Linked DNA regions of Drosophila melanogaster. The protein of the gene in region 1 interacts with the protein of each later gene in a pairwise test. Each region holds a gene or a part of one and is shown in the gene's direction. Other genes may lie near its edges.

What was found.
Region 2: the proteins of pcs (region 1) and tth interact in a two-hybrid assay, tested with the Drosophila melanogaster proteins (one large-scale study listed by BioGRID).

Annotation. Positions count from the first base shown.
Region 1 is NT_033778.4:14,977,280-14,985,513, forward strand, and holds the start of pcs (parcas), read left to right. Parts: upstream 1-3,983; 5' UTR 3,984-4,502; coding exon 4,503-4,544; intron 4,545-7,047; exon of another isoform or gene 7,048-7,129; intron 7,130-8,234. Other genes in the region: ckn (caskin), read left to right, coding at 1-194, 408-644, 951-1,427, 1,558-2,406.
Region 2 is NC_004354.4:13,613,321-13,621,554, reverse strand, and holds the start of tth (toothrin), read left to right. Parts: upstream 1-4,968; 5' UTR 4,969-5,574; coding exon 5,575-5,879; intron 5,880-6,135; coding exon 6,136-7,117; 3' UTR 7,118-8,234. Other genes in the region: CG2691 (uncharacterized protein), read left to right, coding at 2-136, 199-631, 700-962, 1,021-1,211, 1,283-1,817, 1,890-1,992; Tango2 (transport and golgi organization 2), read right to left, coding at 2,502-2,958, 3,153-3,453, 3,619-3,741, 3,980-4,121.

The DNA of each region.
Region 1 (8,234 bases):
AGTATATACAGCCCCTGCTGGAGCAGAACTATAAGACGGTGCGCGACGTAACCCAAGTGACTTGGGAGGATCTCGAGGACATTGGCATTGTCAAGCTGGGCCACCAAAAGAAAATTCTGCTGGCCATCAAGCGTGTGAAGGACATAATTAGCGGAAAGTGGAACCCAGGCGGCGCCAATGCCTACCAACAGCAGGTGAGAAGTGGGTGAAAATACAAGGGATTTAGGAAGAAACAACAAGGGTTTTTTAAATTTTACATTACTGCAAACTTCAATCTAAAGCATTTGTTGTATTTTTTCTTTAGTCTTAATTTAATTTGATTTTAATTTACCACTAACTTTCGTTTCGTTTCTATTTTGTTCATTTGTTTTGTATGATTTCCCCTCGTCGGAATGTTGACCAAACAGGAGTACCAGCGGAAGCCCTGGCAATTCAATGTGCCCATACCCAGTACGCCATCCTATGTGCCAACCACCCGCGTCTCGTGGGACGACACGAAAATCTACGCGACCAGCAGTGTCTTGAATTCCACTGCCCCATCCGGGAGCAGCTGCCTCAATAGCAGCCTTGCCAACGGAGATGCCTACTACTGCACGGGCAGTAACCATGAGTGCTGCTCGGGCAACGATGTGGTGCTCATTAAGGTGGGCACTTGGTTTTCCACAGTTAAAAAGCGTAGCAGCCCGTTGGCCTTGAACTTTTTAAGTGCCCTCTGACATTTTAGCCACGAACTAGCTTTTGCATCGCGAACATCGTTACTTAACAAATATCAAATTAAGTTTAATACCCTTCATTAATATTGCTTTGCAAAAAATATTTTTATTTTCATATTATTATTTCTGTTGTTGAGAATTTTTTTCTCGTTGATTTCCAATTAACTTAGAAGAAAACTGGCCTCATTAATTTCAAAAAGTTGCACCTCCTAACGAGCCTCTTATCCTTTTCTGCAGGTTCGCCAGCCGCGCGGCAAGAGCCTGGAATCTTTGGAGGACATCCACGACAACAGCACGCGCAGCCATCTGACCTTCAGCCATTACACAACCACGGACTACGGCCACTTTGGGCCGCCGACAACAGCGGCGGCTGCAGCGGCAATGGCCGCAGCGGCCACACTGCAGCAGCAGCATCATCACCAGCAGCTGCTCCACCAGCAACAGCAGCAGGCAGCTGCCGCCCGTCTCCTGGGCAACAATGCGCCTGGCATTGGATGGCGGCGATCCTACGACGACGGCGACATCACACCCACCAACGATGCCACGAGGGAGCTGCTCTACGAGCAGGAGGGCGGCGGAACTCTGCCACGCCAGCAGCGTGGCATCCTGCAGCGGGCGGTGTTGAACACCATGCCGCCACTGGAGCACCATCACTACATGAATGCAGCGGCTGCGGCGGAGTACGGTGCGGCCAGCGGTGTGGAGGGTGGAGCGGTAAGTTGGGGTTCCACGAATCCTTAGAACACTTATCTGTGGTTGCCATAGTTGGTTATAATAGAAGGGACACCAAAGTGGCAACTGTGGATTTTAAACTGTTCTTACTAAGAGCTATCTTCTATTACAGAATTACATGGGCGGCAGTCCTTTGACGGGCAAGAAAATAGCTCCTGAGCCACCTAGACGCCACTGCAGCATACGCAACTCCCGCACGCTGAGCGGAGAGGGAGTGCCGTCGGGAGCGGCTGCGCAGGCGCATCAGCAGGCAGCCCAACAGCAGCAGGGCCAGCACATGTTCTACGGCCACACGGCGCAGCACTGGCAGCAGCAGCAGCAGCAGGCGGGTGCAGGTACTGGTCAGCAGCCGATCTACGCCAACTATGCCACCATACAACAGACAACGGCGGAGATACACTGTGAGAAGTATCACGACAGTAAGTCGACTTCCAGCATCGATTCGATTGACACGATACCATTTGCCAACGAGAACACTGGGACGATAAAACAGCGGCTGCTCAACCGCCAGGAGCTGCAGGGCGGCGGAGCGGGCAACAACAATGTACCCGGCGGCGGCCATCCCGCACACCTGCACTCCTCCAGCTCGAGCTCCAGCTCCTCCTCCACGAACACCATCGCGAATATAGCGCACTCGTTCCATTCGTTGAAATCTTCCAGTTCGCTGCACGATGCCACATTGGCGCGGAGTGAAAGCATGGGCAGCACAGCCAGCGGTGGAAGTGCCTTGCACCTGCGTTCACCCACATTGGATATGTCAAATGCCGGTGGATCAACGGCGGAGCCTGCAAGTTCGCCAGAAGCAGCCGTACCAACTGTGGCCATAAACAACGGCGTTCCGCCCAAAGTTTCGGTGAACGTTCTGAACGACATTGGCAATATGCTGGCCAATCTCACGGACGAGCTGGACGCCATGCTGGAGGAGGAGAAGCGAGTGGGCCTAAACATAGACAGTGAATAAATCTCCAATCAAACAACAAATCGTAGTGTAGCTGAATTTAGAAGTTGTGGTGTATCTTGTAATGTTTTATGTACTTCAACTTAGTTAAGTTCAATTTGTTTTTGTATTTCTTATTCCAATTGCGTGTGGAGAAGCATTTATATTGGATCGTATTCTGTATCATTTCGATATGCACACTGTGTAGTAAAAAGCAACTACAACTGAAAAGCTTTGGACAAACCATGTATACTTTTGTACTTTTCCTAAACTCTCCTCCCATTCCCGAAACTATGAGTGTTAACAATACAAAATGAAAATAACCAAGTAAAAGAATGGTAAATGAAGCGCAACATGCATATATGCAGAACTTGCATAGTTATTATATAGCATAAAATATATATAATTCGATATATAAATAAATATTTAAACGAAATCATTTATATGGACAAGTATTTAGTGGTTTGATACTATACGACAGAGGAGGAATCAACAAATAAACCACACGGCACACTCTTAAACAAACACAATGAAAGTCAGGCAAGAACTACTATTTAAAGATCCCATTCAGACAATTTCAAATTGTATTATTCTAGAATTTTGTACCTTAGTTCTTTGTTCATTTTTTTCAAATCACGCTGCACAGAAATGTTTCTTTTTGTTATGATTACAACTAAAATCAAACTATATGAAATGAATGTATAATTAAGTGTTATTCCATACAAAGTAAAAAGATGCATTATATAAAATATAAATCTTATATTAGCGTTAAATTAAGAAATCAAAAATAAAAGAAGGAAACGAATCCATCTTTATAAATTATGTTTAATCGGGCATTGATGCTGAATAACGTATGAAATTCCGTGGTATACAACTGAATTGCCTTCTTCTTTATAATTTACATAAATAAAAATCTTTTAGTGAAAATTTTGTTTTTTGAGAGTATTTTCGGTTTTCTGTTAATTGCGCTCAGTTAAAAATATGTTTGGTGCGCATATCATTAGAGGAAATTGGAGTATTCGATTTATAAACGCATATAAGGAAAAGTAAACAAATTAAATACGAAAAAATCACAAACATGTAAAGCACATAAAGGGCAAAACAAAAATGATGAAAACAAATAACAAATAAAGTAAACTTTCATAGTAAAATGTTTCTGGTTTTAATGCATATTTTGTTACTTAGTCAGACCTATTTATTTATATTTCATTAATACGTATTTAGCAACTTTAACAAAAATCCTTTTTGAAACAAAATTTTTTTAATTATTCATAACGTTACGAAGTGAATCAACTACGTAACGTGATGTGATGGTTATGTAGATGAGGCATATGACGTAATGGTAAGAGAAAATACCAAGCCCGCCAAGAGTAATTTTGAAGACTAATATGTTAACTTAGCATTTTTTTAAATATAAATTGTTACATTATCAAACTGGTGCAATGAAAATCAAACATTTTTTTAATTGTTTATTTTTCTTGAAAATAGTTGGCAACAATGCCAGCGTTGTAATGAAATATACCAATACAATAAAAATACCAAATGTTTATTTCAGCAACTGCTGGTCAGCATTTCACTATCTGGTAACACCGCGCTGCGGTCACACCGAATTCAGCTTCTCATTTCGTCGCGTCTGGACGCGTCTTTAATTTTTAGGATAGTTTAGCCTTTATAAGCGAGTTAATTAAATATCTTAGATGCCCCGAGCGAAGGAGAAGGTGAAAAGCCGCGTGCCCTGTCCACTTGTACCGTTCGTCTTGTTCACACTTAATGTAATCGCCATGTGTCCCTTTCCCTTTTCGCTTTTAACTTCGTTGTGAAACATAAGACGCAAAATGAAATATTTGTTTTAATACTGCTGCTGTACCCGCATAGCAAATTGCCAGTTAAAATTGCCAACACCAATTTACATAATATTATAGAAAAAAACACAGAAAAAAAAAAGAAAAACAAAACACACAAGCAAATTGATAGTCGTGGGATGTGTCTGTGTAGCAACGAGATCAAATAGTGAAATGCAAAAGCGTTTTTCAATTGAAAAGCGGGCTGCAGAAAAGTGAAAATTAACGCGTTTAGCGATATATTTGCATTTGGAACGAATTCAGTGAAAACCAGTAAAAATGTCGAGTGCAGAAGACGGCGAGCTGGATCCCCAAATTCAGGTGATTTTCCTTCGGCAATTTGCCTGCTGTCCTTCCTATTTTCTCCCCCTCTCTCTCTCATTGTATGCCTCTCTCTTTCGTACCTGGCACTGAATGGAACGGTATTTTAATGACAATAACAATATTCAGGCTGCTTTGTTTTTGGTTTGCTTGCTAGTTCTCTCTATCACCTGCTCTTCTTTGCAGTGCAGTTTTTGTTGGTACAGTGCATACCCGATTCGGTGAATTGTGAAGACCGAGGGTATCCACTGTACCAAAGTGATAAATGTGCACCTAGATTTTCATACAAAAATATGTTTACAACTTACAAGCAAAAAACATAGAGCACTGTATTTTGGAAATAGGAAACAGGCGTTTTTGCATTGCATTTCGTTACTCATTTATTGCGTGAACCTTTTTTACGCTTTGTTGGTTTTCAAAAACGATACAACAGCAAAAACCAACACAGAAAATCAATTTACGAGCCATTTAAGCAAATTGCAAGTTTCCTTTTCCGACGAACTATTCAATATGCATTGTAAAACCGAAAACAATACAAAGTGCAGGAAAAAAGGGATCACAAAGGGTGTCAAATAATCCCACGCACTTCCAAGTAAACTGGTTTTTTTTTTCTTTTTACCCGCAACGGATTTGAACTCGGTACCTAAATGAGATTCAAGTGCAACTTGGTTATTGCTCTTTATCTTTCGCCCCTTCTTCTTTGCTCATCTCTTCGCATTTTTGGGAGAGAGGAGGAGGTATGCATACAAATTTAATAAATGGAAATACCAAAGCGCACACGCAAGCCAAAGCAGCAACAACAAAAAACAAACACGCCTTTGTTTCTATTTCGAGTATTTTATATATTATTGTGTAAGCCAGACAATTGAAAAGTGTCTTGAAGCGCAAGTCGCAGTTTTTGCATAAATCAAGATTCATATGCTGCTCATTCAACTGCGCAAAATAGTCGCACACTCGCCTAATAGCCTTAAATGGGCAGGAAATAATACGAGTCTGTAAAAATAAAAACTCAAATCGGATGAGTATAGTGAAAAACACAATGTTTCCAAACCGTGATCAATAGGAGAATATATTTATGTATATGAGTATATAAGTATAAAATGGTTATTCAAGTTAAAAACACCTTTATCCAGGGCGATCAATCGAATGGTACGTCCATTGTGAGAATACCCCCTACATAGACAAAGGAAAATCCCGGTGTAGACCTACAATAATTCCTATTTTTAAATGCAAAACTTAGTGGGAGAGACGCCACACGCGGCGCAAAGTCATTAACAACAATTTGATTTCGAACCCAGAAGACAGACGGCATGTGACTAGATTGGATTCGTCGATAATGTCCGAAAGTACATATGTATAGGTATGGGAAAATGTGTAGGAGATATTCACTTTGTCTATAAACAATCTTTAGTGCGGCTCTATAAACCAAATACAAAACTGTACCGAAACCGGTTAAGAATTCTACGAAAAACCGCATGCTACATTATACAAAAAAACGCGAAATATTTTGCTCCGCCTATTTTTGCCTTCTTTCTCAATGTTTTTATGCTCGACTTCCTCTTTCGACAAGTCGACTTTGTTGTTTTTTTGCCTTCGATTTGCCAATGATTTATCAATGAGCATTTGGCGTTCTTCTTTTTTTTTTATTTTGCGCGTGCAAAATTTCTTATCTAAAGAGATGTTTTCAAGTTGATGACGCCAAACAATAGACAAAGAATAGGCACCGCGTCGATGTCGCAAAGTCTATTTAACCAAAAACGTGTGTCCTAACAGATGTTTTTTGTAAACAATTCCACACGCGTCAGTTAACTTAAAAATATGGTCATTTGCGTGCTACGGATTTGTTTTTCGAGCCCCAAACTTTCTAATCTCATACCAATCCACATCAAAGCGTCACTTATCGATTAGATGATAATTGCTTTATTAAAAAAACAAAGGGGCCTTTTTTTACGATAGAAATTAGTGAGAAAAGCTTTGTAGCAATTTAAAAATAAATTAGTAGCCTTGCCCCATTTGATAATTAGATTAGCAAGGGAAACTTTATGTGCAGGTGAATTTGATAAAAAATTATAAATGACTAATGAAGTCGGCTATCTCTGGTCTCAGTTACGTAAGCAAGGTGAGAGTACGGGTATCGCGAATTAGAGAACTCGATCCAGGCGTCTATGAATCAGAAAATCGTGTCCGAAAAGTGAGTCAACGTCTACTCTATATATGTAAAAATATACCGTAAAGGTGTCTCCCAAAAGTGTATATGATATTCTTTATGCTTATCTTTTATTGCGAATACGAACTTGTGCTTATATCGCAAGATTATTTATGTGCATACAATACAAAGTTCATAACCAGTCCCGATAAAAACTGCATTTAATACTACATAGCACTCTTCATATTTGATGAATAAGTTTGCTCTCATTTATTTATTATTGAGTTTACTTTTTATTTTGTTTGCGCTTCCAAAACAATTACAACTTTCTCTGATCAAAAAAAAAAAAATCTCAAGTGGCAGCGGTGGGATTCGAACCCACGCCTCCGAGGAGACTGGTGCCTTAAACCAGCGCCTTAGACCGCTCGGCCACGCTACCCATAATCATCGCTGGTCATAAGCGCTTCTGATCGCAAGTGCTATATTTATATTTACCATTTTTATAGCAAAAATAACAAAAACAATTGTAGGAAACAATAATAAATACTTAAAAAGCAGCTGGGATTGCACTTTCATAAACAAACTGTCTCTTTCAGAAGGTTTATTTTCTCAATTAACTGGAGGTTTTGTAACCTTTTGGTCGAGTGCAATCCCCCGGGTTTCCTTAACCATCAGTATCATCACCAATTATCATCATCATCATTATCATTATAGTCGATGGCGCACAACACAGTTGCTACTTTCGAAGAGCGGTTACCGCACTCAATTTTCCATGCATTTTCAGCCTTAATGAATTCAGTTTGGATCGGCTTTGTTTTGGTCGTCGGAATTGTTAATGACATTCAATGATTGCGCTTGTTTATGTAGTTGAACTTAGGCAGTCATTTCCTGCTTTATCAAATCAGCAGAGATACGATTTTCAGAGGCAATCTTATCAGTCATGAACTTGTACTTGCATTAACAACTATTAGATTTCTATAGACTCAAAATGAGTTTGGTTGACCTTTGATCTGAATTGCTTGGTCATAAAGAGAAAGTCGAGAATTTGAGTTAGCATAGCAATTGAAAATAATTTGTTCAAAGTGGGTCAGGCACACGAGAGTTCCACACAAAAAAAAAAAAAACATCATATTCAACACAGAAGTTTATCGTTTTATACGAAGTTGACATAACTCTAATTAAAAAAGCAAAAACTTTATGCGGTCAATTGCAATTGTCAAGCTACGTTGACTTAATTTTCGGGTCGTCAGACATTCACTCACGCATCGCCGTTGAGTTTTCTTTTATATAACCATCTTTTTGACCTACCAGCCAAGACTTTCTCAGCAGTTCCACTTTGGTTAGTTTTCCCCTTGGCTTGCGGTTTTTTACATACAATTGTCGCATTATTTTCGGCCGATGACGTCTATTTCCGCTTGAGTTGAATGTCCTACGAGTTCCTGAGGCTTCCTTCTTTTTTTTTTTTTGTTGTTGCGCAAGTCAAGTCGATGTGGGTTTGCATTACAGCTCCTCCATTGCGATTATGCCCAAGTCTGGCCAGGAAA
Region 2 (8,234 bases), on another chromosome or scaffold:
GACTACTTCGCGAACTGATGACCTCGGAGCTGCCATCATGCCAGAAGTTTACCCGCAAGAACAGCATTGTCCTGCAGCAAATCCTTCTCGATTCATTTAACACCAGCTGCAACGTTTGTCAGGCATCGCGTTTGCAGTAAGTTAAAGTGCTAAATGATCGCTAAAGTGTAGGCTAAACTATTATTTTTCAATCATCAGCTGCCTGAAGTCCCTGATAGACTGCCACAGCAATCTGGCGTACAACGATCAACTTGTGATGAAGGCCATTCCGGAGGCAGTGCTCAACTATAAGGAATTCTCCAATTACAAGGAACAGGTGGCCGAGCAGCTAATCAAATCTATTACTCAACTTTATCACGATGCCGGCAAGATTAACGACTTTGTTGATATACTGACGGCAGGATTTGCCGGCGATGAAATGCTGGTGACGAACACAATTTTGGCCTTTAGGGCTGTGCTCCAGCAGCAGGGTGAGCACTTGACAGTGGCCACTCTGGAGTTTGTCCTGCAGCAGGTCTCTGTTTTCCTCGTCCAGAAGTCACGCAAGCAAGCGGAGGCAGCCATTGCCTTTCTGATTACATTCATCAAAGTGATGCCCATACCACTGGTGGCCAATCACCTGGAGGCAATTGTGAGCACATCCGCCGACATTTAAATTAGGCACTTGAACCGAATAATTAGTTCTTTCCCCTCCTTTAGATGCGTTCCTTGTCGGCCATGACCAAGGATACGAAGCGATACTGCCGCATCCAGATCGGTTATTTGCTTAAGAAGCTCTGCATTCGTTTTAGCCCCGGGGAGCTGGCCGGCTTCGTTCCCGGCGATGACGATGTAATCCATCGCCGGCTGAAGATGATCCGCAAGCGTACGCGCAGGGATTTGCGCAAGAAACAGAACTTGGAAGCGCAGGAGGATAGCTCCGATGATGAGCTGGTCAGCGGTCTGCAGGAAAAGAGCTACACGTAAGCGTTTTTCATACACAGTAATTACCCAAATAACTAAAAAAAATCCCTTCCACAGCATTGATGATATGCTAGCTGACTCCGATTCGGATCTGCCCGAAGATATGGACGCTAAGGATGAGGCCGGAGCTGCAGCCGCAGCTAGCAAGCGTAGCAAGAATGCTAAGCAACAGAAGAGCACTTACATTCGCGAGGATCCCGATGAGATAGTCGATTTGGCCGATCTCAAGTCCATTGGCAATGTGCTGAGTAAGTTGAAGTCGTTTGAAAATCGCACAAATCATCACTTTTTTTGTTTCTTTGCCTTTGCCCCACTCCAGCCAGTGGCTCCGCTCAAACGGCCACCCCTGCCCAGAGTCAAAAGACGAAAGCTCAGCTGCCGAACGGTGGCTTCAAGACTGCCGACGATGGACGCCTGATCATCAGCGACAAGGCACTTCGTGGCCAGGGCGGTAACGATCAGTCCGATGACGACTCGGATTCCGATGCATCCATGGCGTATGGCACTGTAGCCAAGCAGCCCAAGGTTAAGCGTGGCATGGAAGACGATTCGAGCGACGAAGATAAACTGCAGCAGAAGCTAGTACCCAAGCGTGTACGCAAGGGTGATGATGCGATGAGCATGAAATCGGGCAAAACCACTGCCAGTAGTCGCTACACTGCCGGTGGCAAGGGCATTCATCGACAGCTGACAGCTGGAAACTCGGATGCCATGTCCGTGAAGTCAGGCAAATCCACCAGCCGCCCAGCGGGCAGTGAGTACGGCAGCAAGAAGGCCAAGGGTGATATGAAGAAGAGCGGAAAACTGGATCCATATGCGTATATACCACTCACTAGGAATAACCTGAACAAGAGGTGTGTATCCAAAATGTTTAATATTATTAATATACCCGTCCCTATCTAATACTCCATCTCTTTCGCCCCCAGAAAACGTTCAATGAATTCGCGAAAATTCAAGAGCGTATTGCGAGGAGCTGGCGCTGAAAATGGAGGAGCCGGCGGTGGCCGGGTGTCCAAGAAATACAAATAGGGCAGACGATTCAAGCCAACTGGCTAACAGGCTCGTAAAGCTATAGAGATATAGAGATGTATAATAACACTGGGATAGTGCGGTCTGTTGATAAGGAAGCTAAGACGTTGATGATTATTTCCCCTGTTACTTTGCTTAAATATATAAATATAACTTAATATATATATATGAACATGTGGAGACGTTGTAAATGCCACAGATAAAGAAAAACAGAAACAGAATAGTTATGTATTTTTTTTTTTTTTTGTTTTGATCTGCAAAGACTTTGAATAAAGAATTTTGAAAGCAACATAGTTCGATGCGTGGCAGAAAGAAGAGCAGTAACGTTAGATTAAATCCACACAAGCTTTATGTTCTTTAAAGATATAGTAAATATGACTATTTATTATCGCAAATGCCAGAGTCAAAATACAGATTGGTAGAATATTAGCCAATTAGGTTATTCTACAAAAGAGGAAAGTCTTCGAACGAGATAGTTGCGTCAAGAAGTTGCGTCATCCTGTCCGTGGTCAAACGCCGTTTTGAAAATCCTTTTCAATGTGGGTCTTGTTCCATTCGCCGTGCGGATCCAATCCAGTCATTGTCTCCTCAATGAAGTGCATCTTATTCTCGCTGTCCACCAGGACAACGGAGTGTGTACGGCTGCCATAGGCATGCTCTTCGATATGGACGTTTAGGGAACTCAATCCCTCGCCCCAGTTGGGCGCACGTGTCTTTAGCTCGTCGTCCGGCCAGAATTTGTGCTTGTTGCGGAGCAACTGCATCAGCTGGGCGGACAGAGTCTCCACGCTGGCTTCCCCATGAGCCTTAACGATCGCCTCGAACTCCTGTTTGCCATGACGCACCTTCTCGAACGGAGAGTGCGGCAGACTGTTGCCAAATCCGTAGCACTCGCCGTTCTGGAAATCCTCCAGCGTGGGCGGCACATTGCTCAGCAGCTTCACGCGAGCGGGCTGGGATGCAGATCTGTTGAGAACGAAGGCGTGCAGTAGATGGTATCAATGTTTCGCTAATGGTTCCCTAATGTTATTGCATATTATTCAGAATTTATACGTATAATTCGGAGATAAAGACAGCATAAAGCAATATATGTACATACTAATATGCATATAATTAGAATATATAATAATTCAGGTTAACCTGAATGGGCGCAGACTCACCCAATTTCGATGGACACAAAGTTGAAGGCAGAATACTTGGTGCAATCTTTGAGCAGCCTTTCGTTGTAGTTCAGGATGCTGTGCTCCTCGTCCGCCCGGGTAACATAGTCCGCCACAATCATGCCGCGCCCTAGTAAGAAATGTTCGTTATTCGATTGCCCCCTACTCGGATTCGTATTCGGGTTCTGAATTGGATTCGGATTCGGATGACGGTAGCTGTTGGAGGTGGTGGTCTTGGGGCAAAGGTTAATGCCGGTGCTGTTGCTGTTGTGATTATGCGGTTGCAAAATGTTTTTGTGCGCTTCAAACAGAAAACAGAAACGAAGAAAGTTTGTTTTTGCTTTGCTTTTTCTTTGGTCGCGGTTGTGAAAGTTTTAGTTCGGGCCAAGTGTTAGGTGTATGGATGAGTGTGTGTGCGTGTGTGTGCGCGTCAATTTGGATTAGTAAGTAGCTCAAATGGGTTTACCAACTGCATCGCGTGGCTTGGGCTCGCCGGTCAGATTGAGCAGGGCGCCCACCTTAAAGAAGCCAGCGGAGTGGCCGATCGCCAGCCAGGTGCCGCCCTCGCGTCCCGGCTCCAGATCGATCCCTGAAATGGGGGAATACATAAATATTTACTCAAGTTGATCCCGCACTCATGGGTAAGATGGCTTGAAATCCAATTAGGTTGCTGGGAAACAGATCTTGTGAGAGGTGTTCATTCTAACAAACTGCTATCAAATCATCTTAGTGACTAAACTATAGGTAACATCTTGATGAATACAAGCTCTCAAGGATTATACTCCATCTAAGCATAGGCATTCAAGGGCATAAGCCCCACCACTTACCTCCGTAAACATGATCGGCATTCGCCCACTTGGCTGCCGATAGGGTGGCGCGGGCAAAGAACTCGTCCCGATTGGAGGCCAGGATGAGCTTGTAGCCACCCGGTTGCGGATTCGAGTCCGCACAAAAGAATATCACGCACATCGTCGGAATCCTATACTTATTTGGCTATTGTTGCGATTTGTAGTGCCTTGAGGTTGTGGGACAACTGCGAATGGGATCCGGAAAAGTGGGCTTTAATCTCGGTGGGGCGTCGGTATCAAAATGGCAGGTTGTTCGGCTCAGTCTTCTCTTTGTTACTTTGTGGCAGTGGAACTATAGCGCCGGTTTTATCACCAAATAGCCGTACGTACGTACAGCTGATATACAGTCTTATCCGTTGTTTGCGAGACCAGCTAATCTAAGTGGTAAATGTAAATGGTTTGGATTGGTGGGTGTTCTCTGTGAGCCGTGCCTCTATGTGATATATACATATCTACGGGGCAAAAAGCATTCCCGTTAACGCAAACAAAGCAGTATTTTCTGAAATTTCAATGACCGGGTTGCCTTGTTTTGATTTCTCTTTTAATTTTGTTTTTGTTTTGTTTTGGCGTTGCCAGCTGACAGGAGAATCGATAAGAAAATCGTTAACACTCTGCTGCCCTGTGCAATATTCTTTTAGCTATTTTATTAATTGCTAATTATTTATTTGTGCAGTCTATGACTTATCTTAATTTGTACTTTTAAATTTGAAGATTTTAGTTCCTCATCGTGCGCTGAAACAATGATTGACCAATATGATTGTGTAATTTATTTCCAAAGCCATATATAACGTATATATAAACATATTAGTTTTTTTTGTCGCCTGTGCCGATCCAGATAACAAACTACTATTTTGAAATTGGCGTAACAGGTAGGTAGGCATTATCGCCAGTTGCCCATCTCTATTGTATGACCGTGGGCCCGGCAATCGATTGGCTTACAACTTATCGATGTTTGAAAACTAACCAAAAACCCTGTAACATAGGCTTGTAATTAAAACTAGAAAATACCATTACATAGCTATGCACTGCAATGCATAAATTAACTAACAGACCTATACAGGCCCTTAAATTGGTAAGAAAACTGATCGCTAAAATTAAAGCGAAAGAGTGGATTTTTTAGGACAAAAATACCGGTCGGTCGAGAACATTTGGGGGGAAAATCATGTCGCCATCTGGTAACACTGGCATTCAGCAGAGCAGTGAAAACGACGTTAATATTTCTGATCAATTAAACAATTGGAAAATCCGGCCGCAGATCGCGATCTAAACGTATCGCCCTCGCCACGCCCACTGCCGCCCACGCCCCCTGGCGCGGGGTCACATCGATAGAGAGCTTTGCGTGTGTGTGTGTGTGCGTGCGTGTATGTGTCGGTCGAGAGGAGAGGTGGAAGACGAAGAAGAATAAAAAAAACAGGCAGCGAAAAGCGATAAGAAACGGAACACAACACACTGGAAAAAAATTGCGATAAGAAACGGGGCGGAGCGGAGCGGAAATTGCCAAGACTCTGGGATGGATTAGCGGCACAGCCGGACTCTGAGGTTAGCCAACAGTGGGATTAGGACCAGGAACAGCCATGTCCTCCGCCGTTAACATCCAGATCGTCTCTATGCCGAATCTGGCCAAGATCGAGAGCTTCCTGAAGGATGTCAGCTACCGGGAGACGATCGAGTACAGTGCCAACTTCAACACGCGCCTGTGCAGCGAACGGCGCCACCGGCTGCCCTTCCTCGATCCGCAGACAGGCGTCGCCCAGAACCACTCGCAGCTCTTCCTGGACAAGCGACAGCGGATGCCCGGCTTCCGGCAGGGCCAGATCTACACGTATCCGGCGGCCCGCTGGCGGAAGAGCCGTCGTCAGTACTTGAGCAAGATGTACAGGTGAGGAATCGTAACCAATCGGTGCGGGATTTGAGTGACTGGCACATGCACAAGGAAAAGTTAGGTATAACTCTGGCGAAGCAAATTAGAGCTTGGAAATCTAGGAGTCTGTTACCTATGGTAATCTTATTTAAAACGAGTTAGGTTAGAAGAATATCATCTGTGTATATGCCATTCAATCTCATCAAATCCTACATTTTTCGTTGGGTGAGCTCCATATTTATCCCTGCTAATAACGAACTTTCCACTTATACAGCCGCTTTCCCGAGCGTCCCTTCCAGGCGCTACGCAAGGAGCACGAAGCTCTGGTGGCCAGCGGCGTCAATCTGGGACTGAGCAGCCTGACCAGCGGTGTGGGCTCCATGCCCGGCAGCAATAGCCTGGCCAGCAGCTCCTCCCTAACGCTCAATATGCTTACGGGCGGCGGAGCCGCGCCGGCCGTACTTGGTTCCCTGCACAGTGACACTGCCCACGATTTTAATGGAGCCTTCAGCCTGGAGGAGTCCAGCTCGCTGGGTGCCGCCGGCGGTGATACATCCGACAGCAAGGACAGTCAACAGCAACAACATCAGCAGCACCAGCACCAGCAGCAGGCCGTCAAAGAGGAGCTTTTGCCCAAGGAGTGGTTCTACGATGACATGGATATGAACGATGTGGACTCGCTGGAGGAGCCCAAATCGCCGGCGGATGATGAGTACGATTATGATCCGCGCTATGGTAACAAAAAAAGGCGCAAGCGGCGACCAGGCAAGCGAGGTGGAGATTCCGGCGGCGGTGGTGGTGGAGGAGGCGCCGGCGGTGGCGGCAATTCCGGCGGTAGCTCCAGCTCGCGGAGACGCAGTGCAGCGGCCAGGTCGCGTATCACAACGACGGATGCGGCGCTGGACGCATCGCTGGAGGCCATTGAATCTGGCGAGAGTGTGCCAGGCAGCAATGGAGGACCAATCTCCAGCGGAGGCATCCTAAGCGGCAGCCTGGGAGCAGGCTTAGCGGGAGTTTCGGGATCCGGCGGCGGAGGAGGAGCATCGGGAGCTTCGGCCAACAGCCGCAGATCGCGGGGAGCGGGAACACGTGGCAGGCGACGAGCCAAGGGGCCAAATAGCGCCGTTGGAGCGTCTTGCGATCCGACAAGTCCCGGCATGGTCATCGAGCCACCATCCTTCGAGAGTGCCGCTGCTGCGGTGGGCGTGGTCGAGGACGCGAACGCCCATCTGCGCAACTATCGGAAGTATCTGTAACCGCTCTATCAGCAACTAACTGGACGTGTAATCAATCAAAGCCTTGTTTTTCGCAATGTTTTCTCGCCTATTGAATCGACCTACTTTTTCGCACATAATTTAAATATAGTTTTTAAGCCTTAGTTGATCACTGTTTGTTGCCCCCCTCCGACAAAAGGATAAAAGCCAAGCAAGAAATGAAAGAAAGGAAACAAATACATTGTGGACCAGGGACAGAAACAGGATTAGAATCAGGATAACGATCAGAACCGCGCACCAGGCCGTAGCCAATACAATTCCAATGTTTCGCCTCTCTTAACTTTACGTTCCCATAGCCAATTGATTGTTGTTTTTTAAACTAGCAATGGACTGGTGAACTTCTACTATAGGATAACTTGAGCGGAAACTTATGGATGTAGCAAATATTCTTCGAGCAATTTTGTAATGTAGGAAACCCTTTAGGCCATCAATTATTAACGTTGTATAAGTTAGACAATGAATTTAAAAAGAACCTTTTTCGTCATCGTTAGGCAATTCGTAATCAATTATTTTCGGGCATCATCTATGCCATAAGTGAAACAGCACAATTTGAACTATGTATAGTTTTGCAATACACGACTATATTTCACATCTGGTTTCCGAAGTTTTGCTTAGAGCAGTTCGCCAGACCATTGCATTATATTGTACATTATATATATGGGTGTACAGACATTATATACATATATATATATATACATACTTGCATGCATTGTATTTGCGACTCTACTTAAGGCAAGTCCACCTTTTGGACTGGCTCTCCACCTAATCGCAATCTCTCGGTTTCTGTTGCTGCATGTTCTTAATACTATTTCACCTAGCTCCCCACCCCTCCCCACATATTATATTCAATTTTTTTTATTTAACCAAAATTTTAGTTAAAAAAGAGACAATTCAGATTGTAATCTATTTAGGCAAGTGGTAGGGTATCTCTAGCATTAGAAGAAGCTAAAAGTAAAAACAATTTCGTAAAACCAAAATTTTTTCTCTAGGATCATAATTATTAAGCTGAGCTAAAAACGAAAACAAATTTTAACTAACTAAGAAGGGACAAAATTGAAATAAGATCAAAAAAGGAAAACATGTACATTTTGGAAGAAAA